Linked DNA regions of Alligator mississippiensis. The protein of the gene in region 3 interacts with the protein of the main gene of each other region in a biochemical or structural test. Links are inferred from orthologs where the notes say so. Each region holds a gene or a part of one and is shown on either strand. Other genes may lie near its edges.

Region 1 (6,991 bases), on a different chromosome or scaffold from region 3:
AGTCAGCGCGAAGTGGGGGAGAAGTGTCCCCCGGCAGCCAATCCTGCTGTCCAGTGGGGGAACTGATTTCACTCTCAATAAAAGTGGCCACGCCACTTCCGGAACTCCATCGGCCACTTCCAGAAGTGGCGCGGCTGCTTTTGCTGGCAGCCTCGCTCCCCACTCGATGCTCACAGAAGGGGCACTGGTGTTCCTGCCTCCCCCCCTGCTACACAGAGAGCATGGCCTGACAGGGGATGGACCAGTGCTCTCAGGGGATGCATGTGCACTCCCATGCACCCTCTACACATTGCCCCCGTCAGGCAAGAGAAAGCAGATTCTAAGAATCAGGGCAGCATCATTTTATATTATGACACACAGCAATTTACAATTTGCTGTGTGAATGGACCACTAAAACCATATGCAATAATTATCAAAAGAAGAGTTCTGACAAACATATGCTTGGCAGCCATTTTAACATATACTTCCAGAGGCAGGAAATGCAGATACGGAACCCGTTAGAATTTCCCATAACTCAAAACTGGATAAGATAGAGACAGATATAATTTCATTAACTAAAATAACAGGTTTTGGAGAGGTCTTACAACATTTCAATTTAATATCATTATGATTATGTCTTAGCTGCAATCAACATGCGACTACAGCTCACATAAACACATCCAAGCTAGCTTTAAACTAGAGATGTAAATGGTTAAACCAGGGGTTAGCAACATTTTTGACTGCAGTGCCAAAACAACCCAACTGGACCCAGGCCCCAACATGGCATGCCAGAGGCAGATGGCGCAAGGGGCCCTATCCTCATTGCTAGTGGTGGGCACATGCATGCCTCCAGACGGACTGCAGGGGAAGGGCTGGGATTGTGCTGCCCCAGGCCCTCCCCCACCATGCGCCCCAAGGTGCGTGTGCAGCTGACATCACCACAGAGCCGGTGCCAGGGCTCCGGACCCTGGTGCACCTGTTTGCAGCCTGCCTGCCTGCCACCTGCTGCAGCTACCTAGAGATAGGCTAGATGTGGCAGGCAGCAGGGAGCTCCAGCCAGGTTCTGTGGCAGCAACACCTGCACCTTCGCCTGGGAGCACACAGCTGGAAGAGGGCCTCACATAGTGCAACCCCCGCCATCTGCCCCAGGACATGTCTATAGATGCTGCCACCATGGAGCCCAGCCGGAGCCTAGTGCAACAGTTTGTATCCTCTGGGATGTTGGCTGCTGCCTGCCATGGAGTCTGGTGGTAGCTGCTCAAAGTCCAAGCCAGCTGTGGCATGAGAGCAAAATGGCCTTGCATGCCATGTTCTGGCACGTGCTGGGTTTGCCGACCCATGGGTTAAACATTTAACCATATTCGCAGGTTAGCATTTAGTGTGGAGTGGGGAGCAGTCCAGTGGAGAAAGTCGCAGGGTGACCCTGAAGGTGGCAGGGCAGGCAGGAGAGAGTACCCCTGGCTCTTTCTGCCATCCACCCCAAGGCACGCATACTCCTGCCACTGGTAAGGAGACAAATCAGGGCCCTGCAGACCCCCATGCAACCACTTGTAGCCTCCCAGCCTCCTACCACAGCCGGCATAGGCTCCAGCCAGGTCCCTGGAAAGGCTGGAAAAGCCCCTTGTCTGCTGCTGCCACCCAGTAAATATGGGAGCACAGGCGGGGCAGGTCCCCAGGAGATACCGGTTATGGGTTACCTGTTTAACTGATAACATTCCAGGAGTTTAAACACATACTTCATTAACCAGTATTTATATCCCTACTTTAAACTAGCTCAGATATTAAACCATTGGCAGCACGGGGTCAACACATTCTCTGGACCCTGCCCAGTAAATTGGGGAGATGCCTCAACAACGGAGGACAGGACAGACCTCTTTGGTGCCACAGCTGCTGGTACCAAGCTACTGATATAAAGATGGCTTTGTTGCATCTATCCAAGCGAGAGTCACACACCCCTGACTCCAGCAGAGCCATGGCAGCCGTTCTCAAACTTTAAACCAACGGACTGCGGTAATAATGCGATTTTTCCCTATTTCATGTGACATAGCTTCTATAGTACATACTAGAACAACCACCTTCCTTTAAAGATTTAGTTACAACACACAGCATCAGAGTATCCCATAATGCAGTGGTCCCTCAACCTTTTTTGTACCGGGACCACCTTGTAAACATCAATGGCCAGTCCCCAGCCAGTAAATAGTTTAAGTGTAATACAGCCCACTGGCCCTGCCGGCACCCCTCACTCCCAACCTGCCCAGGTTGTGGGGCAAGCGGTGCATGGGGGGGTGGCCCGCAAGCAGCCCCTTGCAGGCTGAAACTCTGCCAGCCTGCAAAGAAAACCCATGGCTCCCCACTTTTCCTCCTTTAAAGGAGAACCCATTTTTAACAAGTTTGTTCACAGCCCTTTCACATTCTTGCAACTCACTTTTGAGTCGTGACCCACAGGTTGAGAAACACTGGGGCAACCAATACAGTCATCAGGAGTAACTCAGGTGAATCAATAGACTAAGGGGGATGTTTTCAACACAAGCACGCATTTTCAAGGCAAATACTCCTGACCCATCAGTACCGCACCCTGGAAGAATGAAACGTCATCCAACCCTCCAGGAAAACGGGTTGCGGAGCGGCTGGTATCAAAGCGGAGTTGATCGGCTCACACTAACTGCGGGAAATTGAGCAGTACAGTCAAAAAACTACACAGCCCTGGGGGCCGCTCATGTCAGAACTCAAGAGCTTAAGACGGGCAGACTCCTCCCGTCCTCAGCCCCTTCCCCGGCCCCACCCGCAGTTAAGGCAGCCCCGAGCACGTGAGAAGCGGCGGCCCTCCCGGGCGACACGGGCCCGGCAGCTGCAGGGCGGGAGGCTGCGGCGCGGCTCGGGGCGGGGTAGGAGGGACGCGGCACCTACCCGTGGGCGGCGGCGCTGCGGCGCGGGCTGGCCCCGCGGGGCCCCGCTGGAACATACAGCCGGCGGGCGCGGGGGAAGCCGCCCTGCCCCTCCCCTCCTTTTCTCCCCCCCCCCACGCCGGGCCGCGCTCACGGCTGCCGGCCGCGTTCCCTGCCCAGCGCAGCCTCAGCCGCCATCTTCCGCCAGCCGCGCGCACCCGCTCCGCTCACGCGTCACTTCCGGCGCCCGCCCCCTCCCGCCTCACGCCGCAGACCCCCTTCCCCAGCAGCCGTCAGGGGCTCGCGCGACGCCCCGCCCCTCCGGGGCCGCGTGGATCCTGCCTGTCAGTGGGTCTGCGCTGAACACCCGCAGCCCAGGCCTGGTCTGCGAACAGTCTGGCAGCTGCCCGGGGGCCGGGGACCTGCCTGCGTGGGGGGAGCAGCTGAACCCCCAGACTGACGGGCTTACTCCGTTGTGCAACCTTATGAGCTTCACTCGAGCTTTGCTCGGCTGAGTTTTGGAACTGATCTGGTTCTTGCGGGAATATATAGATAAATAGATATATATGGAGAGAGGGAGATCTCCCTATATATAGAGATATAGCTATATAGAGAGAGAGAAATGGAAGATGGATAGATATAGATATCCCCCAAGCAATATATATATAAATCTTTATAAACTTTTGAACTTTGTGCACCCGAGTTTTGGAACTGATCTGGTCTTTTGAAATAGACATACACATGCACGCGCATTTGTATATCACACGGACATTCATATATAGGTGTGAGCAGAGTTTATAAGCACGTGTGTGTGTGTGTGTGTGTGTGTGTGTGTGTATATATATATGTGAATCTGTGTTAAAAATTCAGCTGAACAAAGTTCAGGAGTTTATAGATATGAATGAGTGTGCTTATATATTTCAAATGCCAAGTCAGTACCAAAAGGCAGCTGGGCAAAGCTTGAGTTTATAAGCAGATATCTCTATATATATCGATATCTTTCCATCTATATATCTCTCTATATATAATACAGATATATATGAATACAGTGATTTATATCTATATATAGGTATATAGCTAGATAGCTATAGGCTATCCACCTATACACACACAGAGATATATAGGAGTACAATGATTGATATGTATCAATCAGTATTCATATATATCTATATGTGTATATATAGGTGGTTAGCCAATAGGTATATAGAGATATATATCTATATATATATATAGATATATATACATGTAGTGATTGATATATATATAGCTGCTTATTTTAACCCATCCTGGATGGTGCCCCCAGATGTAAGCAGTGGCAGTGCATAGTCCCATCAATTTACATGAGCAACCTCAGCATTCCCAAATGCAGGTCACCAACAACAAAGGAGGTATGTCTAATAAGGATATTGCTATACTGAAATATACACTGTATTCATCCTTAGCGTAAAAAAAAACAGTCTGTGTGCCCTTCCAGAAATTTGATAAAACTTGACAGATACTAAATCGCTTCTAAATCTATACCAGGATTTGACAAAAACATAACATAAGTCTGCAGAGTTTCATGCTACACTCACTTCATTGATTGAACTATACAGCTGAATAGATTTAGGAGGCTTCTTTAACCATTTAGAATGGAGTTCTGCCCTACCTTCAATGTTTTTGTATGGCAACCATACTAAAGTATTACATCATATTCCCATTATCCTCAGTGTGTCCCAATAACAGGTTTTCATTGTGGATTTCCCAGTGGTAAGATAATTTATAGAATATAATGTCTACAACAGATTGATTAAAAGTTAGGTATTAGGAAATATTTTTCATGTCCATGTGCAAAATTAACATAATGCAGGATCATTTACATCTTATTTATAGCATTATCTTTTCTTATAACATATGATTGTCCTTTTTACATTTGAATATGTTTCTTTAAAAACAGAGTATCAGGAATATCCATCCCTATGTGTAAAAAAAAAATCCAACACTTGCTTTGGGAAAGGGGAGTGGCCATTAGTGTTTATGAGACTAGGTGACTATGAGCACTGATAAGACAGGTATCACACATCAGTTTTGGAATAACTTCTATCATCAGGTCTCCATTGTAGGGACTGACTGTGTATTCCCTACCTATAGGTAACCCTTCTAATCCATGCAGTTCAGGGCCCTGCAGGTTATAATTCATAAGAGGAAAACTAATTAGCTCAATATCTTTGCTATAATCCTGTTTGTTAATAAAGAAGGCTCAAAACCCTGTTTCCATGACCACAGGAAGAATCTTTGCTCATTTCTCCAAGCCATTTTCACCCAACACTCAGCCCATAACTCCTCTCTAGACTTTCCTCTCAGGCCTGTCTGGCATTCTGCTCCTTCTGTGCATTTGTCTGAGATGTTTCTACTACTCCCCTTTCTTGTATGCGTTTTTCGAAAAGCAGTACCAAGCTGTGCCCCTCTCCTAAGTCATTTAGTAGACGCACATGTAACTTTGTTTTGCAGTGACACACGTTGACAGTACCAGCTACTATTGTTTCATAAAGGAGCTTAGCCAACCACAATTCAATTAATCTTATATGAAGGACTGCAGTTAAATCCATCAGCTTAATGTTTTGCCTGTCTCATAACACTACCTATATCTCCTCTATTTATTTCAATTGGAATTTCACACACAAGCCTGTACCTGAAAACACATGTATGTACATGAGTGTCCCCTTTTATTTCAATGGGATTGTACAAATGCATAAAATTGCAAAGGTTTAGGTTGTAGCCGTGTAACAATGCCAGGGTCTTAACTGTACAGCAGTTAATCTGGCCTGGAGGCTTAACAGTGCCATAGGGTCTGCCTGCATAGATCTGCTTGAGCTTTCAAGACTTCTGTTGATGAACAGCAGCTGCCACAAAGCCACCATGTGCCACTGCAGATCTGAGTGTCTCCAATACAGCAGCTGTGCCACCAGCGTGCACCCTGGGAAGGCACTTGCAGCTGAATGGGACTGTGGCAGCCAGCTGAATATACAAGAGTGTCTTCTCCTGCTTTCAGCCAGGTGCTGGGCAGTGACAGGTGCTTGGCCCAGTCATTCCATCCAGGAAGAGCATGCAGCAACTGCTGCAGCATCCTTAGCCTGACGAAGGGTTTTTGAACCCGAAAGCTTGCTTAATAACTATTCTCCAACCATTTGGGTTGGTCTAATAAAAGATATCAAATTCACCCAAGAAACCTTGTCTGCCTAAAACTGCAAATGTTGTAGTAAGCAAGGAGATAAAGAACATTTGCAGGATCGCATTTTTTGGACTACAAAAAACCCACTCAGATTGTAAGTGAAACCTTCCCTGGATTTCCTCAGTATGGAGCGTAAGATCAGGATTCTAGGTTAAATAAAGCAGCAGAGGTGCTAAGTGGTGTAGCAGAAGATTTTCACTTTCCAGTCTCATATCTTAGGCCTAATCCATACTACAAATGTCGCTTGAAGGTCTACAGCTCTGTGTGAGAAACCCTTAAGGACATGCACTCTCATAGCCTCTCTGCAGTGCCAGGACCCTCCACTCTCCTGGCAAAATAAGTCCACCTGTGCCAAGCAGGGCCAAACACCTGTCACTGCCCAGCACGTGGCTGAAAGCAGGAGAAGACACTCATGTATATTCAGCTGGCTGCCACAGTCCCATTCAGCTGCAAGTGCCTTCCCAGGGTGCACGCTGGTGGCACAGCTGCTGTATTGGAGACACTCAGATCTGCAGTGGCACATGGTGGCTTTGTGGCAGCTGCTGTTCATCAACAGAAGTCTTGAAAGCTCAAGCAGATCTATGCAGGCAGACCCTATGGTACTGTTAAGCCTCCAGGCCAGATTAACTGCTGTACAGTTAAGACCCTGGCATTGTTTTCTGGCATCTCTTAATTGGGGTTACCAGCTCCTAAAAGTATTACCAGTATTACCTGCTCCTTGTTCTGGGCTGGAACCAGAAGGTAAGTGGCCGTAATGGGTGGGAGCAGGGAAGGCAGTGGTAGGGGACAGAGGCAGCAGGGGAGGGAAAGGTGGGCAGTGGCTGCAGCTGTGACTCTGACCCCAGGTTCTGGTGGGAGTTGGAGCTGCAGTAGCTGCATCTGCATTCTCCCTGCCCCTGATGATATGAGTATGTAA
Region 2 (7,501 bases), on a different chromosome or scaffold from region 3:
AAGTGTCACACACCTTGTTCTGCATCATTCCTTTCCTAGCTGATAAGATCCGGCTTAATGGCTAGCAGTCTTTTTTCCAAGTCACTCACAGGACCTCAGCCCTGAAAAATATTTTGTGCTCAAAAAGCAATTTTTTTTTTTTTATGCTATAAAATCTTAATGTTCTGCAGATACTCTGTCCAGACCCTGTCATCAGCGATTCCACCTTGGGTTCTACACCAAGCTGTGCACAGAGCTGAAATGTGACTTGGAGACGTATGGTTGACTTCCTGCTGATGCTGAAGGAAGGAATCCTATTTATGTACCTTGCTTCCCAGGTCCTTGCCTAAAAGAGCACCCAGGCCTTGGGGGTGAGGAGAACGAGGACAGAGTTGATACAGGAAATACGTTTTGTTTAGACTTGTTAGATTTTATTCCAAATTTAGGAAATGTCCTGTTTGTGGTGAACAAGCTTTAGAAAATGAGACGCAATTATAGGGGCATGCATGTACATGCACCCATGTGCATATTTATACACCGTAAAATGTCAAATCCTTGTTGGAACTACAGTGCCAAGTTATGTTAGAATAAAGCAATTAAAACAGATCCTTAAAACAAAGAACACTTTCAACTGTAATGCACGACAGGCAGATGTTACTGCTGGAGTTTTGTTGCTGGCTGTGGCAGTGTCATGTGACCTTACAACTTAAAGTACAAACATTGATATAGGTAGGGCATGAAAGCCACTATTCTGAAAATACAAAAAAGGCTGGAATTTCAAGGACAAGCCTCAGCCTGGAAAGTAACAGAACGAGCAAAAATGCTGCTAGCTGGAAAGCCTGGGACACGTGCACAAAGGCACAGATGGTGGAAATGAAGAGGGCAGTAGGGCCTCCTGTCACTTTTTCTGAGCCAGAAGGAAAATACGTTTTTCACTCAACTTTAGTCCAGCCTCTGGGGCAGGCTATCAAATCCTCCTCACAATGGCACAAAGTCTGTTGCTTTTGTTATGTGATCTCCTGTCCCAATCCTGAAAGTAGATACATAAGTGACATGTGTGCTAGTTCCCTGGGAATCTCACTTGACATGAAGCCCATGCTAGCACAGTAACTGTAGGACCTGGACTTGTCTGGAAAATCAAAGCTCTGATAGGTGTAGCTAGAATCTGTTGGATATGTCATGAATGCATATTTCACTAAAGAGATCTTTTAAATAGATCTTTACAATATGCTCTCTTACTGAAATAAAAAAAAAAAAAATCTCTTAAGAGTTTTATCTTTCCTTGAACTTAAGTTTAACCTTACTTTGTAAATATGCTTTGTGGTTTGCCATGGCAGGAGCAGGGATTAAACCTTTACTTTACAGGATACCATGAAATAAGGTCAGTTTAAGAAGCAAGTACCCCTCAAACTGCAGCTCTGTTACACTTCCTTTTTCAGTGCGTTTTTCTGGCCCCCTTTTTCCTGTGTGAAGAACCCACAGGAATTAGAAGGGGGGGGGAGTGAAACTGACTAGATGCACAGATGTAAGTAAACTAATCATGACACTTCTCTCTATATAATAATGTTAAATAGGCCAAAAGTGGTCAGTAAGAGTGCGATATTTTTAAAATCTTCACAACCTCTTTAGTGACCAAGCTAAAATACCAAGTTGGGTAAACCACAGCTCCTCCTTCACAGTTACTTAGAGAATGGAATTTGCCCTACAAAAACAAGGCCCAGCCCAAAAAACAATGCTGTAGAATAGGTCAGACCATGAAATGGGGCTCTACCCACTTATGCAATATCATTTTTAGAAATCCAGTGCTCGTGCAATGATTCAACAGTCAACTCCCTCTTAAATGCCTGAATTACAGAATTAGACATAATGTCAGCTTGTGACACAGCTGTGAAACAGGCTTAGGGCAAGACTGCTGTACTAAGCTGTGAACATGTCTGCAAAGAGGCAAAGCAGGGAGATCTTTTGAGACCTGCTCAAGGAGATGCACGTTCCTGCTTCTTCGGCCTGTTTCTTTTCCTGCTCCCTACCCCTTCTCCCCGGGGAGGAACTGTGCTCCCCGCAACAGGCCGCACTCTGCTGCCCAGGTGGGAGGGGGGAAGCACCCCACTGTGTTGTCCTTGGGACCCACTCGCTCCAGGAGAAATGAGGAGCTTCTTGGCTTCCGCGGACCGAGGGGGGCTGGTATTTGCACAGAAGCCACACACGCGCCTGGCCAAGGTCCAGGAGCCCCCGGTGACCCGGCTGGGACGGGGTGGAGGATGTTTCCGCTCACTACAGCCTGGAAAGGGGAAGTGAAACTCCTTGCTCGCGCCTCGGCAAGTCTGCAACCACGGCGAGGCCGGGCGGGGCGGGCAGGGCAGGGCAGGGCAAGGAGCCGGGGCCCCTTGGGGCGCGGTGCTGCAGCGGGAGGCGCGGGCCGGGCGCTCTTACCTTGCAAGGGAAGAGAACCGCCGAGGCCACTTTCTCCATGGCCAGGTTCCTGATGCTCGGGGTCAGGGACCCCCTGCACGTGGGGCAGCAGCTCAGTTTCTGTCGGCATTGGTTGCACACCAGGTGCCCCGCCTGGCACTGCAGGATGGGGGGCAGCACATAGTCGAAGCACACGGGGCACTCGAACAGCGAAGTCAGCTCGTGGTGCTGAGGCGACACCGGCCCCCCGCCGCCGCCGCCGCCTCCGGGCCCTGCAATCACCGCGGCCGCGGCGGGCACCGCAGACGAGCCGGGGCCGGCGGCCGAGATGGTGGCGGCGGCGGCGGGGGCAGCAGCCGGGGACGGCGCGTGCTGCTGCTGCTTGCCGCAGGCTTTGCTAGCGCTGGGTCCGGCGGAGGACGGGCGGCTCATCGCGGTCCGAGCAAACCATGGACGTGCGGGCAGCGGGCGCGCCACGCAGCGCCACCCCGGGTCGGGGGTCGGGCCCCGGGCGGCGCTCGGCCTCCCGCAGCACCGGCCCGGCGCGGGAGAGACGAGGGGGCCGCCGCGTCAGCGCCGCCTCCCCCGCGCCCGCGGCTCCCGCCGGCTACTGAGCATGCCCCGGCCAGGCCGCGCCGCGCGGGGAGCGGGGAGCGGGGGCGGCGCCGCGGGCGGGCGGCCGGGGCGGGGCGGGGCGGGCACTGACGTGCGCGGGGACCTCCCTGGCGCCGCCCCGGACCAACGTGGCCGGCGGGAGGCGGCGCCGGGCGTGCGGGCAGCAGTGCCTGGCCCCGGGTGCCTGGAGCCCTGCGCAGCCGCGCACCTCATCCGGGCGTCCGCCTCCCGCCCGCCCGCTCCACGGCCCGCCTCCCGCCCATTCAGGCCGGATGGGGCATCCAGCCAGGGCCCCGGCACGGACGCAGGATTTGCCCTCTTCCTTTGGCCCTGCCCGGCTCCCTCCCCCGTCCCGGGAGGCAGTGAGTGGAGATTGTTGACTTTATCTGATGCGTTTGTAGAGTTCGGGTGAAAGCACGAGAAAGTCAGTATTCTCTGGCTAGTTTGATTTTTTTTTTGGTCTAAACGTAAGGAGGAAGCTGGACTGCGCCTCGTTCTTCCCGATCGCCGTCGCTGTCAATTGTCTCTCCTTTCAAGGATGATCTCTACCGTGGCTCATTGATGGGTCTTGAGGTGACTTCAGTCCAGTCCTCGAGCCACAGATCGGTCCACAGAAGTTGCGGGTCTTTCTGCAGGGGAAGTAGGATGCCGGCTGGGATTTTGATCCTTTTCCTTCTTTCGGACTCTGTCCGACCAGCAAGCACACACGAACCATGGACACTAATATCACCCAGTCTGCATTTAAAGAAAACTGTAATGATATTGGTCAGCATTTGGTTTATACCGGGGTGCCAAACATAAGGCCCCAACGCTGGATTCAGCTTATGAGCCAATGAGCTCTGTTGCTGAACCAGCCCCATGTGCTCTGTGCTGCATAATATTCTTTCAAAGGAAGCCTTGTCTTTCATGACAGTGGGCCAAAAGGACCCTGTAGTGACTTCTGAGTGTGCTCAGACCTATAAACTACTATTTTCCTACAACTTCTGGTGAAGACCTACAAGCACTTAATAGCAGCGCTTAGAAAGATTAAATGCTCCTGATTTATTTTCAGAAATGGACTTTTGCTGATATTTCTAGATTGTGTCATGATTGCTATGTTCATCAGTTAAAGCCCTGATCTCATTATTTCAGCAGCTGCAAACACATGCTTACCGCTGTCTAATTTGACCAATGCAGCTACACTAATTTCAGGCCAGTCGTTGATGAAGTACAGCTTAGAGCAGTGGCTCTCAATCTTTTCAGGATCAGGGCTCCCCCTCCACCACTTCTATGAATTGGCAGCATCTCCTATTGAGAACTGTTGGTGCTTCCTCACTTCACTTCAGTGTTTCTTGACTTGACTGGGTATTGCTGCCTGTGATAAAACTGTCAGGCACCTGCTTATCAGCCAGCCCAGGAAGAGCTGTGGCATGTATACATATTCCTCATGCAGTAGGACTTTTGATCAGCCTAAAGCAGGCAGGAGCCACCTCATGCTGTGTAGCCCTTCCTGGTTCACCTGCCCCTTCCCCTGCTCCTGCCAGAAACGGGTACTTTAGTGGAACTGTCCTGTAAACCCCTGTCTCTTGGGGGAGTGTAGGAGGGGCCTGCCCAGGAAAGGCTAAGATGAGCTAGCTCCTGCCTACTTTAGGCTGATCAGAAAGCAGCAGGAGTGTGCACCAGGGTAGTCTTACCTGGCTGCAGCCACAGTGCAACACCCTGGATGAGAACCACTGGGTTAGAGAAAGAAGAGCCACCTTAAAATCTTCCCATTCTGCAGGCTTGTTGGTTGTGTAGTACATCAGCTGAGAACCAACAGGGCTTGTGCTCAATAGCTGTTGTTTCTGGCAGGTTGGGAAAAAAGTATTCAGTGCAGTATAGCAGAATGCAAATGGCTTCATAATGTCAGCTGTTATGAGCATTCAGAAGGGATGGAACATTCGAGGCCATTGGTAAAGGACATTGGCAGTGTGCATTGTTGTCGTTTTTATCTGTGTCTTTGGAGGCTTAAGTTGAACAGTTTGTAGGAACAAACTATTCAACAGCAGTGCGCAGCGGTAGATATTGCAAAAACTACCAGTATGTGTGAATGAAGAAGAATATGTTGGTTGAGGGAGCAACCCAGAGCAAGTAAGTATAGTTGTGTTGTAATCGTGGGCAAAGATAAACTTTGGGTCTAAACCCATGAGTTTGATACCCTTGCAGGACATGGGCCTGCATCTCCATATTGTTTCAAAGTTAGTTTCATAACATCTATATACAGGAAACCCTCGCTATTCGCGAACTTCACTATTCAAATATTCACGGGGGAGGGCAGAGCTGGGAGGCGGGCAGAGAACAAGCGCCAAGGGTTTGGAAGGAGGAGGTAGTGGTGGTGGTGGTAGCAGTGGCATGTTCTCTCCTGGAGTCAGCCGTGATGGCACTTGGGCGGAGAAGGGGTCGGTCTCCAGGTGCTGTGGGGGAGCCCCGGGGACAGGGAGGGAGGTGGCGATGGTGGCATCTTTTCTGCCACTGCTGCTGTGCAGAGCAGCCACGGCAGTGCTCGGGGGGAAGGGGTTGGTCCCCAGGCACTGCGGGGGAGCCCCGTGAACAATGTGGGGGGGAGCAGGGGGTGGCTGTGGGGTCCGACAGGGAGCCTCGTCAGTATTCATGGATTTCGCCATTTGCGGGGATCTCCAGAACATATCCCCAGCGAATGGCCAAGGTCTCCTGTAGAGTTGGCGATAAAAATTGCTGGGGTTGGTGGCTTGGGTTGGTTTCCCCCCCTTTCCTGTAGGGTTTGCACCACATGTGAAAACTGTGGTGGTGTGTTAGTGTATGAGACTGAGCAAGTGGAATTGATTAGGCTGCTTTCATTGTCCAAGCTAAGTGAAGTTTGAAAATCAAATTTAATGTGGTTGAAGGCTTTTCTGTCTTAACAGCATTACACAGGTGGAGAACCTTTGCTTTTGGAAGAAAAATCTCACAGCTTTTCTTTCAATGTTAACGAAATGCAGCAAAAAAGTAGGAAGATATTTCCTTGTAGTGGGGAAAGTGCCCTACTTGAGTATGCTTATTTATGTCAATTCGATGTTCATCAGGCATTGATGTCCTCATAGCCTTCCACATGCAGAGGTTAAAGATTGAATCATTTCGATTAAGGGTTGTGGAAAACCCCATGTCCAGCGTGACCCATCAGAACTACCAGTTAGTCATGAAGTATAACTGGAAAATTACCTTGCCAGCACAATGAAGGTGTTTTACTTAGACTAGTTTTCCATCAGTTGCTGCAACTAGACTCTAGAGGCTGTCTGTACTTGCTTCTGTATCAGATACATGCTGTTCAGTCTTTTCTCAGCACTTCAGTGCAATGATATAATTAGCAAGGTTCCTCTGGTATGTGCAGTTGCATGACTCATCCTTGATTCTAAGCACTAGCAAGATTCTTAATTAAGTTTCTATCTGGGCAGAACTTTCATTTAAGGGAAAGTGACAGTAATTTCAAGTGTTGGGAGTTCATTATTTTTCTGTCACATTTGCAGAGTCCTTTTGTGCCCTGTGAAGTCATGCAAAGTATTTATGGGTTAAAGGGAAAAACAGGAGGAAAAAATCATGAGTCATGCATTTCTAATGAAAATGTAGAATTTTACAACTATTTTTTAGCATATCAGTAACTAATTAAATCATGTACAGTTAATCATACCTAGTGATAAAAGCTTGTATTTTATACCACGTTTTGTAGCAATGTCCTAGGGTAAGGTCCATAAGAGGATTTTTTTTTAAGTTAATAGGTAGACAGAACCCAGAATATTAGTTGTGTACCTGACTGTGTCAATAAGAATCTTTTCCCTAAAGAGCCCTGTTCAATTTGAATGCACTGAAAGGAAAAGGAGTAGCTACCAAGGCAGAGCATACCTACTTGGCCCGCACTTGCAGGGAGGCAGTCAGACAGGCCAAACCAGAAATGGAACTTAGACTGGCAACAAAAATTAAAGACAGTAAAAAGTCTTTCTTCAAGTATATAGGGAGTAAAAAGAAGGCACAGGGTAGCATCGGACCCCTACAGGACAAACTAGGGCCATTAGTGCAGATGGGGACAAGGCTGAGCTCTTCAATGAGGTTTTTTTCTGTTGTATTCCTGAACATGGATCGGGACAAATCTCCCAATTGGATCATAGACAGGCACAAAAGGGAGACCAGCCCACCAACTGTTGGCGCTGACTGAGTGAAGGGACACTTGGAGGGGCTGGATGTTTTTAAGTCAGCAGGCCTGGATGAACTTCATCCAAGGGTGCTGAAGGAATTGGCTGGTGTCATAGCAGAGCCACTGGCATGGCTGTTTGAGCACTCAAGGTGCTCAGGTCAGGTCCCAAAGGACTAGAAAAGGGCTAATGTGGTCCCTGTTTTCAAGAAGGGGAGGAAGGAGAATCTGGGTAACTACAGATTGGTTAGTCTCACCTCTATCCTCAGGAAAACCTTTGAAAAAATTATTAAGGATCATATTTGTGGGAATGCAGCAGGAAAAACAATGCTGAAGGGC
Region 3 (7,027 bases):
ATTTCTATTTTAAAAGAATATGCTGAAAATATCACTTCAGCAGTTTTGTCATTCATAGAATCATAGAAAATTAGGGTTGGAAAGGGCCTTAATGGGTCATCTAGTTCAATCCACTGCTCAAAGCATGACCATCCCCAACTAGACCATTCCAGCCACAGCTTTGTCAAGCTAGGCTTTAAAAACCTCCAAGGATGAAGATTCCACCATCTTTCTAGGTAACCTGTTCCACTGCTTTACTACCCTCCTAGTGAGAAAGTTTTCCCTAATATCCAGTCTAAACTTCCCTTGCTGCAACTTGAAACCATTGTTCCTTGTTCTGTCATCTGCTGCCACTGAGAACAGTCTAGCTTCGTCCTCTTTGTAAGTACCCTTCAGGTAGTTAAAGGCTGCTATCAAGTTCTCTCCTCCCCCTGCCCCCAATCTTCTTTTCTGCAGATTAAATAAATCCAGTTCCCTGAGGCTCTTCTGACAAGTCATGTGACCCAGCCCCCTAACCATTTTCATTGCCCTCCACTGGACTCTCTCCAACTTGTCCACGTCCTTTCTGAAGTTTAGTGAAAAGAAAGAGTTTTATTTCACTTCTCTTTTTGGAAACCAAACTTCTACATGACACAGATTTCTTGTCCTTAATCATCCAAAAACATACATTATGTATATAGAAAACATAAGAATGTAAGAAATGCCATAGTGGGTTAGACCACAGATCCATCTAATTCAGTAGTCTCTTTCTCACCATGGCATGACTAGATGCTTCAGGGTAAGAGTATTTATGTGTTGAGGTATAGGTTGTAGCTAGGTTGGTCTAAGAGCATAGGCAAACAAGGCCCAAAACACACCGAATGGATCCAGGCCATGCCATGACAAGAAATCTAAAACCTGACAATATATCTCCACCACCCCCACAACAGAACCTTCAGCATTCCTGGATCTCACAGCTGTACCTCCTATATCTCATCCAATGCACCAAATGCCCTGATGGAAAATACATAGGAGAGACGAAACAACAACTGTGTACCAGAATGAACACACACTGGTAATCTATCAAAGACAAGAATACCCAATTACCTGTGGGGGCACATTTATCACAAGAAAAACCACTCTCTCTCCAGTCTCTCAGTTCTAATCCTCAAAGGGAATTTACAAAATACCTTTCACAGATGAGCCTACAAACTTCACTTCATCAACCTACTGGATCAAAAAATCATGGACTAAGTATAGACATTGGATTTATGACATATACCTGCCTAACATCTGACTCCCCGGGTACCTCTCCACTATTTACCAGCTACATTCACCCTCCCCACCCCCAGCCTCTCTCTCACCCATTGACTCTTCAACTTACATAGTCACTGACTGATTTTCTTGCATGTATACCAGCCCCTGGCTGCTTTACTATTCATTCCAACCAGGAAGACCACAGACCAATTGCAGATGCTTTCTCAGCCTGAAGAAGGGTGTTTGTGCTCAAAAGCTTAAAAAGAAAAATAATGTTTAATAAAAGACATCCAATTTACCCAAAGAACCTTGTCTGCCAGAGTATTTATGTGAAACCTATCCAGATGATCTATCCCCTGCCCCTCTCCTCTGTGGCTTCCAGGTTCAGATGTTTAGGAAATCCTGATTTTGAGGTTAGACTCAAAACTAACATATCTAATAGCAACTGATGGACCTCTGATTTTTTCCAGTTCCCTCTTGAACTGATTAAATTATCAGCCATTACAATACCTTGTGGCAATGAGTTCTAGGAGTTAATTACAGTCAAACTCTTAACAGGATAAGGTATTTCTAAAATTAACACTAACTGTGGATGAACTTTAAAAAATATACCTCAGTCTGTTAGGTGATATAATATTGCCAACATTAGAAATACCAAAATCAAATAAATCATATGATTTTTTCCTCAGTATATTTCATATTCAGTATGAAATCAAGTATATGTGCAACACTTCTAATGAGTCTATATATCTTTACAATCTAAATAATACACTTTACAATTTAAATACAATAAAGAGGATTGAATTAACCACTTTAAAAATAGACCCATTTCTGGAAAGAATGTAGCAGCCATTTAGTACTGCTCAGCAGCACTGCACAACATTTTGGGAAACAAAATGAAGAATACTGTCTCCAATTGAAACTTCCAGAGAAATTTTATTTCAAATTTGACAAGGATACTTGTTAAAAATCTACATCTTATGTGAAAAATGCTAGGAAATAATTAAAAATCCCAAGTTTCCACATCTTCTGTTTCATATTTTATCACAAATATGGTACCTTTAGCACTCTGTACTCCCTGTCTAATGCTTGCATTGCTTCATAACTACTCAGTACCGCCTACTGAATCACCAAAACCACTTCCTGCGGCAGTTTTACTTGTTAAGACTCTTAGCCAAGTACTGACCAAACCCAACCCTGCTTAGCTGCATAAAATCATAGCCTTAGGTGGTATGACTGCAAGCATAAACAGCGAACATCTGTCAACTTGGCTGAAAGTTAGGAATCTCATTGCCTTCTCCAGTGGTAGCTCCTACTTTCCAAATACTTCACAAAATATAGCCTCACATTCAGCTTTACCTTCACACAGGACAACAGATACTTCAGTAGGTTTCTTGCAAACATCTCCATTCCTTGCTTTGATCTATGCTGGGCTATGATGAAAAAGTGGTTGCATTGCATAAGCTTGGTTAAAGGTGAGGCTTATTTCCTCTGCTCTAAGCATTGGAGGTTGAATAGCTATTAAAATTCATAAATAACAAGTAGGGATCTGAAGAAGTATATACAAATTCCATGATTAGGTTACATCATGAATAAATGTACATGTTTCTAACTTTACCAATGCCTTTGTCAAGCCTAAGTACTGGTCCTAAAGTGAGGCTCTTAAGTAAAAGTTAAATGAGCCCCAATTATGCCTCTAGAAACCTCACCTTAGGTAAATACAGTCTAATTTTATGAGTGTTAAATATCTACAACCATTGGCTTCAGGAGAAGACAGAGGTACTTAGCACCTTTGAAAATCATGTAACAAACTGTATAAATTCTGGTCTGTGTTCCTGTTTGGAAGAAGGTAATACCAGGCAAATCCTGGTCTCTGCATATAGCTAGAATACATAGGCTTTGCTCAGAGCAGTTCTGTAAGTATTCTTGTCCCCACACTATCCAGGGGCTGCACTGTAGCTCCTACTGCAGGGTGCTATAGTAGCATGCCCAGCAGCTTTGTCCTCTCTACCACAGAAGGGTGATGACATCTAAGTAGTTCTGCACAGGGGTGGGTGCACTGCACACACATTGCACTGCCTCTAACCCTGGAAAATCTTTTTACAGAACCAGATGACATGTGGGCAGATACAGCCCTACAGAGAACATGAGTTTCAAACCTTCTGTGCAAGCTCTCTCAGCATCCTTTCTCTATATGCAAGGGAAGACTTGTTTCCAATAGGTAAGATAGTATCTATGGATGGGGAGAGGTCTTAAGAGGAGAGCAGAATTTGTTAATGTTTTGTTTTTGTCATGACAGTTGTGCTAAATATGTGGTGTTATTTAATTACAATAAACTTATGTTGTTATTGCTTTAAAATAGTTTTCTTCCCTGTTTATGCTAGTGAAAAGTAAATCTCCTAAAACAATGCATTTCGTAATGCAATGAAAGAGTTTACAACAATAGGATCTTTCTGGATTTGACATGGATATATCACTCCCTCATCCCTCAGCAAATTATTTTGCTGGAGGCTACATCATTCTATCAGTGGTGCGCTGGGAGTTGACGGAGGCGTGAATAATTCACCATCTACGAAGCCTAGCTGAACTGAGTTGAGCTGCAGCATGTTAGGCTGGCCTTTGATGCAGACTGGTTGGGCAGGTTCCTGTTCTACTGAGAAACCGGTTTGGCAGGCCTGTTATGCCAACAAATTCTGGTATGATTCCATGTTCTACAGAATGTAGAAACCTGCCCAGCCAGTTAAATGAAAGGCATATTAGGTTATCCATTGCACATTGTATATATCTTAGGTGCAGCAGATCTCATCTCAGCATTCTTCAGTGTGGTCCACAGTGAATTCCTCATCTCACTTATGCTTTAGGTTTATAGCTTGAGGGGAAGTCAGCAGTAAGTATTCACCTTCCCTGATCAAGAACAGAACCTTTCACAATTAAAACAAAAGGGTGAGTTTTAAAAAAAAAATTTTAAAGTAATTTAAGAAAATCTAACTCTGAAATTCAGTGTTACTGCACTTAAATTTGTAGTGAATGTTTTTTGTATGGATCTGTTTACTATATACCATTAGCTCCAGCTTCTGTGTTTCTAAGTGACATCATTTGTATAACTTCTGACACTTCTGTATGTAGGTAAACATCAGCTATTCCATCTTTATCTAATAACATTTAATGGAGAGAATTGTCTAATTAATTGTACAGTAGTAGGAGACAGGAATATCTGAATACTAATTAGGGTGTTGCCATTGACTCGGTGTATCAACTTGGGCAAGTCACTTAACTGTCTTAAGACAGAACCATCTCAGAGGGGTATTGTGATAAGGTAAAGTGTTATAAGGTACTAAATGTTGATACTATTATCTATTTCTTGTTAGACCAACACTTTTATTTTAAATTTTGCAGGTTTATGGAATAACTTACTTGGCAAAATTTGGTTTAGCACATGCATAACTGACTTAGTGGTGAGTGTTGAAAGCAAACTGTTTCTTAAAAATAAAGAACTATTATTAACTTTCCCTTACTTACCAAATAAAGGCTTCACAAACATGTTTTGTGTGTAATAAGTAATTCAGAGTAGCAATACAAATATAAATGAATCCAAATAATAAACCTACTCCTGACAGCTCTGAAATTTGTGAGGGTTTGGGCTCTGGATCGTTTACAAGTACAGCGTCAAATAAGGAAAAATAAATGGCATAGAAAACAAAAGCTCTGGAATCTGGTAACTGATTAACTACTGGAACTCAGGAAGTACTAGCTGAGCTGAACAGAAAGGAATGAAGACAGGTTTTGTCATGCCTGTTAGGACAAAATGATTCTTTAGCTGAAGTAAATGTGAATCTTCCTGTCATCTGTGTAACTAAACTTTTGAAAACCATCCTCTAACCACTTCCATGTCCCCAGGAAGCTTATTTTAGTGTGTCTTTAGATAAAATAATTACAGTTCACCTGTGTGATGTGATGTAATGAACAATTTTGTGCCTGATGAATTGTATTTTAGTGTTGCTTAAGGGAAATGAAGGTATGTATAGGAGTATGTGAGACTCAGGATAATAATCTTGTAACAGAACCCTTATCATGGTAAGTATTTACTATACGCCATTTACAGGTTGATGTAAAAATTTACATCTTGTTTATAACTCTTTAGTAGAATACCAGTAAATAGGCTTCCTGAGCACCTAAAAGCTCTGAATGGAAGGCTGAAATAACCTTCTCACTGGTAGCACTGAGTCTGCTTGTTAAAACTAGAGATTTTCTTCAAAGTGTGGGAAAAAGAGCAAGAAGAAAAAGATGTTTCTTCTGTATAGGCTGAGAATACTGTTTAGAAGAAATAGTTTAATTTTAGGGGTTAAAATTTCTGATTGCTGATGAAAATTATAAATCATTAAAGGAAGTGTTGCATATTTTAAAGAATATGTAATTTTCCCAAAATAGGGAACATGAATAACCAGTTAAACTGCTCGTTATCTGATGTACATTTTGTCAGGTGATAAGTTTAATTCATAAAAATATTTCCTGCATCTGTTTTGGTAGTAGCATATGTGTATTTGTGTATATCAAACATTTCTGATCCAGTGTTCTAGTTAATGGTAATTGAATAGCATTGTGTTCTAGTGATAAGAGAATGAGTTAGACATTCCGTTCATTACAGTCATGGTCTGCCTCTCCATCTCTTGGTGCATAAATTCCCTTGCTATAAAATTGTGGTGGTAATACTTTGCAGGGTTGTTGCAAGGCTTAATTAATTAATGTCTCCAGAGAATTTTGAGATCCTTAGATGAAACGCACCACAGCAGTACAGTAAAATAGTACCATTATTTGCATTCTTACTCTAGTAGTATATCAATGGTTGCTTGAAGCCCTGCTATTAAAAAAGACATTGTCAAGAAATGTAAGTGCTTAATTTGTTCTTATTCAAAAGCTACTTTGTACCTGGTAGAAGATGCCTTCTAAACTATAAAATGGTTCCACAGTAATTTGTTTTCCAAGTCTTGAGCCCTGGAACACAGCATATTTGTTAAATTTCAACTAAATAGTGAGCCATGTGAATTAATAGTTGCCCACGCTCCTAAAGTAACTGGTTTTGTGTTTAGTTTTGGCAGAAGTGTCTGTTTTTGACAGATATGCCATATATTACATATGGCTTTGACAGTTTTTCCTCTAAAATTCTCATCATTCACATAGAAAGCAACATGAGTTCTGGGCTGGTAAACTTTCATGATTTTCCATGGCTGAAATAAACACATTATGCCATTAGAACAGCTACACAGTACTTATACACTTAGGATTCCTCTCTGGATTATATTAATAAAACTCAGGCACATTGCTGCTTAGAGTCTTTGAACCAAGCATACTTGCTAACTATTCAAATTAAGCTCACAGGAAAAAATAGATAAATAGTATCAGGCTGATAAATGGAAAAGGATCAGAGTGAGAGAGACTATTTTGGAGGTAACTATGGCTGCACTAGTCTGGACGTGGCAATGTGGTATGTGGCGCTGCATACATGTCTGCAGTGCTATATACCACACGTTCAGTTGTTCTCTGTGTCACAAGGGAGCAGCACGGAGGGATTTTTTGACCCCTGGACACCAGGGATCAAAAAAACCTGCAGAGAAAAGACATGGAGTGATACGCGGTGGCAGCGTGGGTTGGCCAAAGTGGAGCCTGGCCAGCCAGAGCTGCATTCTGCTGCTGGCCAGGCTCTGCACGTCAGGATCACCACTGATGCAGCCCTTGGAGGCCACCAGAACCCTAAGTAAGGCTGCTGGGGCCAGCCCAGTGCTGGCCTCAGCCTACCCTATCCTACCAGGGGTAA

Evidence for each region.
Region 1: the proteins of RBBP8 (region 3) and KLHL15 form a complex in vitro, tested with the Homo sapiens proteins (2 studies listed by BioGRID, with this or other methods). The link is inferred for Alligator mississippiensis from reciprocal best matches to the Homo sapiens genes RBBP8 and KLHL15.
Region 2: the proteins of RBBP8 (region 3) and SIAH2 form a complex in vitro, tested with the Homo sapiens proteins (2 studies listed by BioGRID). The link is inferred for Alligator mississippiensis from reciprocal best matches to the Homo sapiens genes RBBP8 and SIAH2.

What each region holds. Positions count from the first base shown.
Region 1 is NC_081824.1:315,931,469-315,938,459, reverse strand, and holds the start of KLHL15 (kelch-like protein 15), read right to left. Parts: upstream 3,054-6,991; 5' UTR 2,887-3,053; intron 1-2,886. UniProt on the Homo sapiens protein: Substrate-specific adapter for CUL3 E3 ubiquitin-protein ligase complex.
Region 2 is NC_081830.1:62,023,543-62,031,043, forward strand, and holds the start of SIAH2 (E3 ubiquitin-protein ligase SIAH2), read right to left. Parts: upstream 3,020-7,501; 5' UTR 2,821-3,019; coding exon 2,410-2,820; intron 1-2,409. UniProt on the Homo sapiens protein: E3 ubiquitin-protein ligase that mediates ubiquitination and subsequent proteasomal degradation of target proteins.
Region 3 is NC_081826.1:87,334,212-87,341,238, reverse strand, and holds the start of RBBP8 (DNA endonuclease RBBP8), read left to right. Parts: upstream 1-4,004; 5' UTR 4,005-4,158; intron 4,159-4,611; 5' UTR 4,612-4,670; intron 4,671-7,027. UniProt on the Homo sapiens protein: Endonuclease that cooperates with the MRE11-RAD50-NBN (MRN) complex in DNA-end resection, the first step of double-strand break (DSB) repair through the homologous recombination (HR) pathway.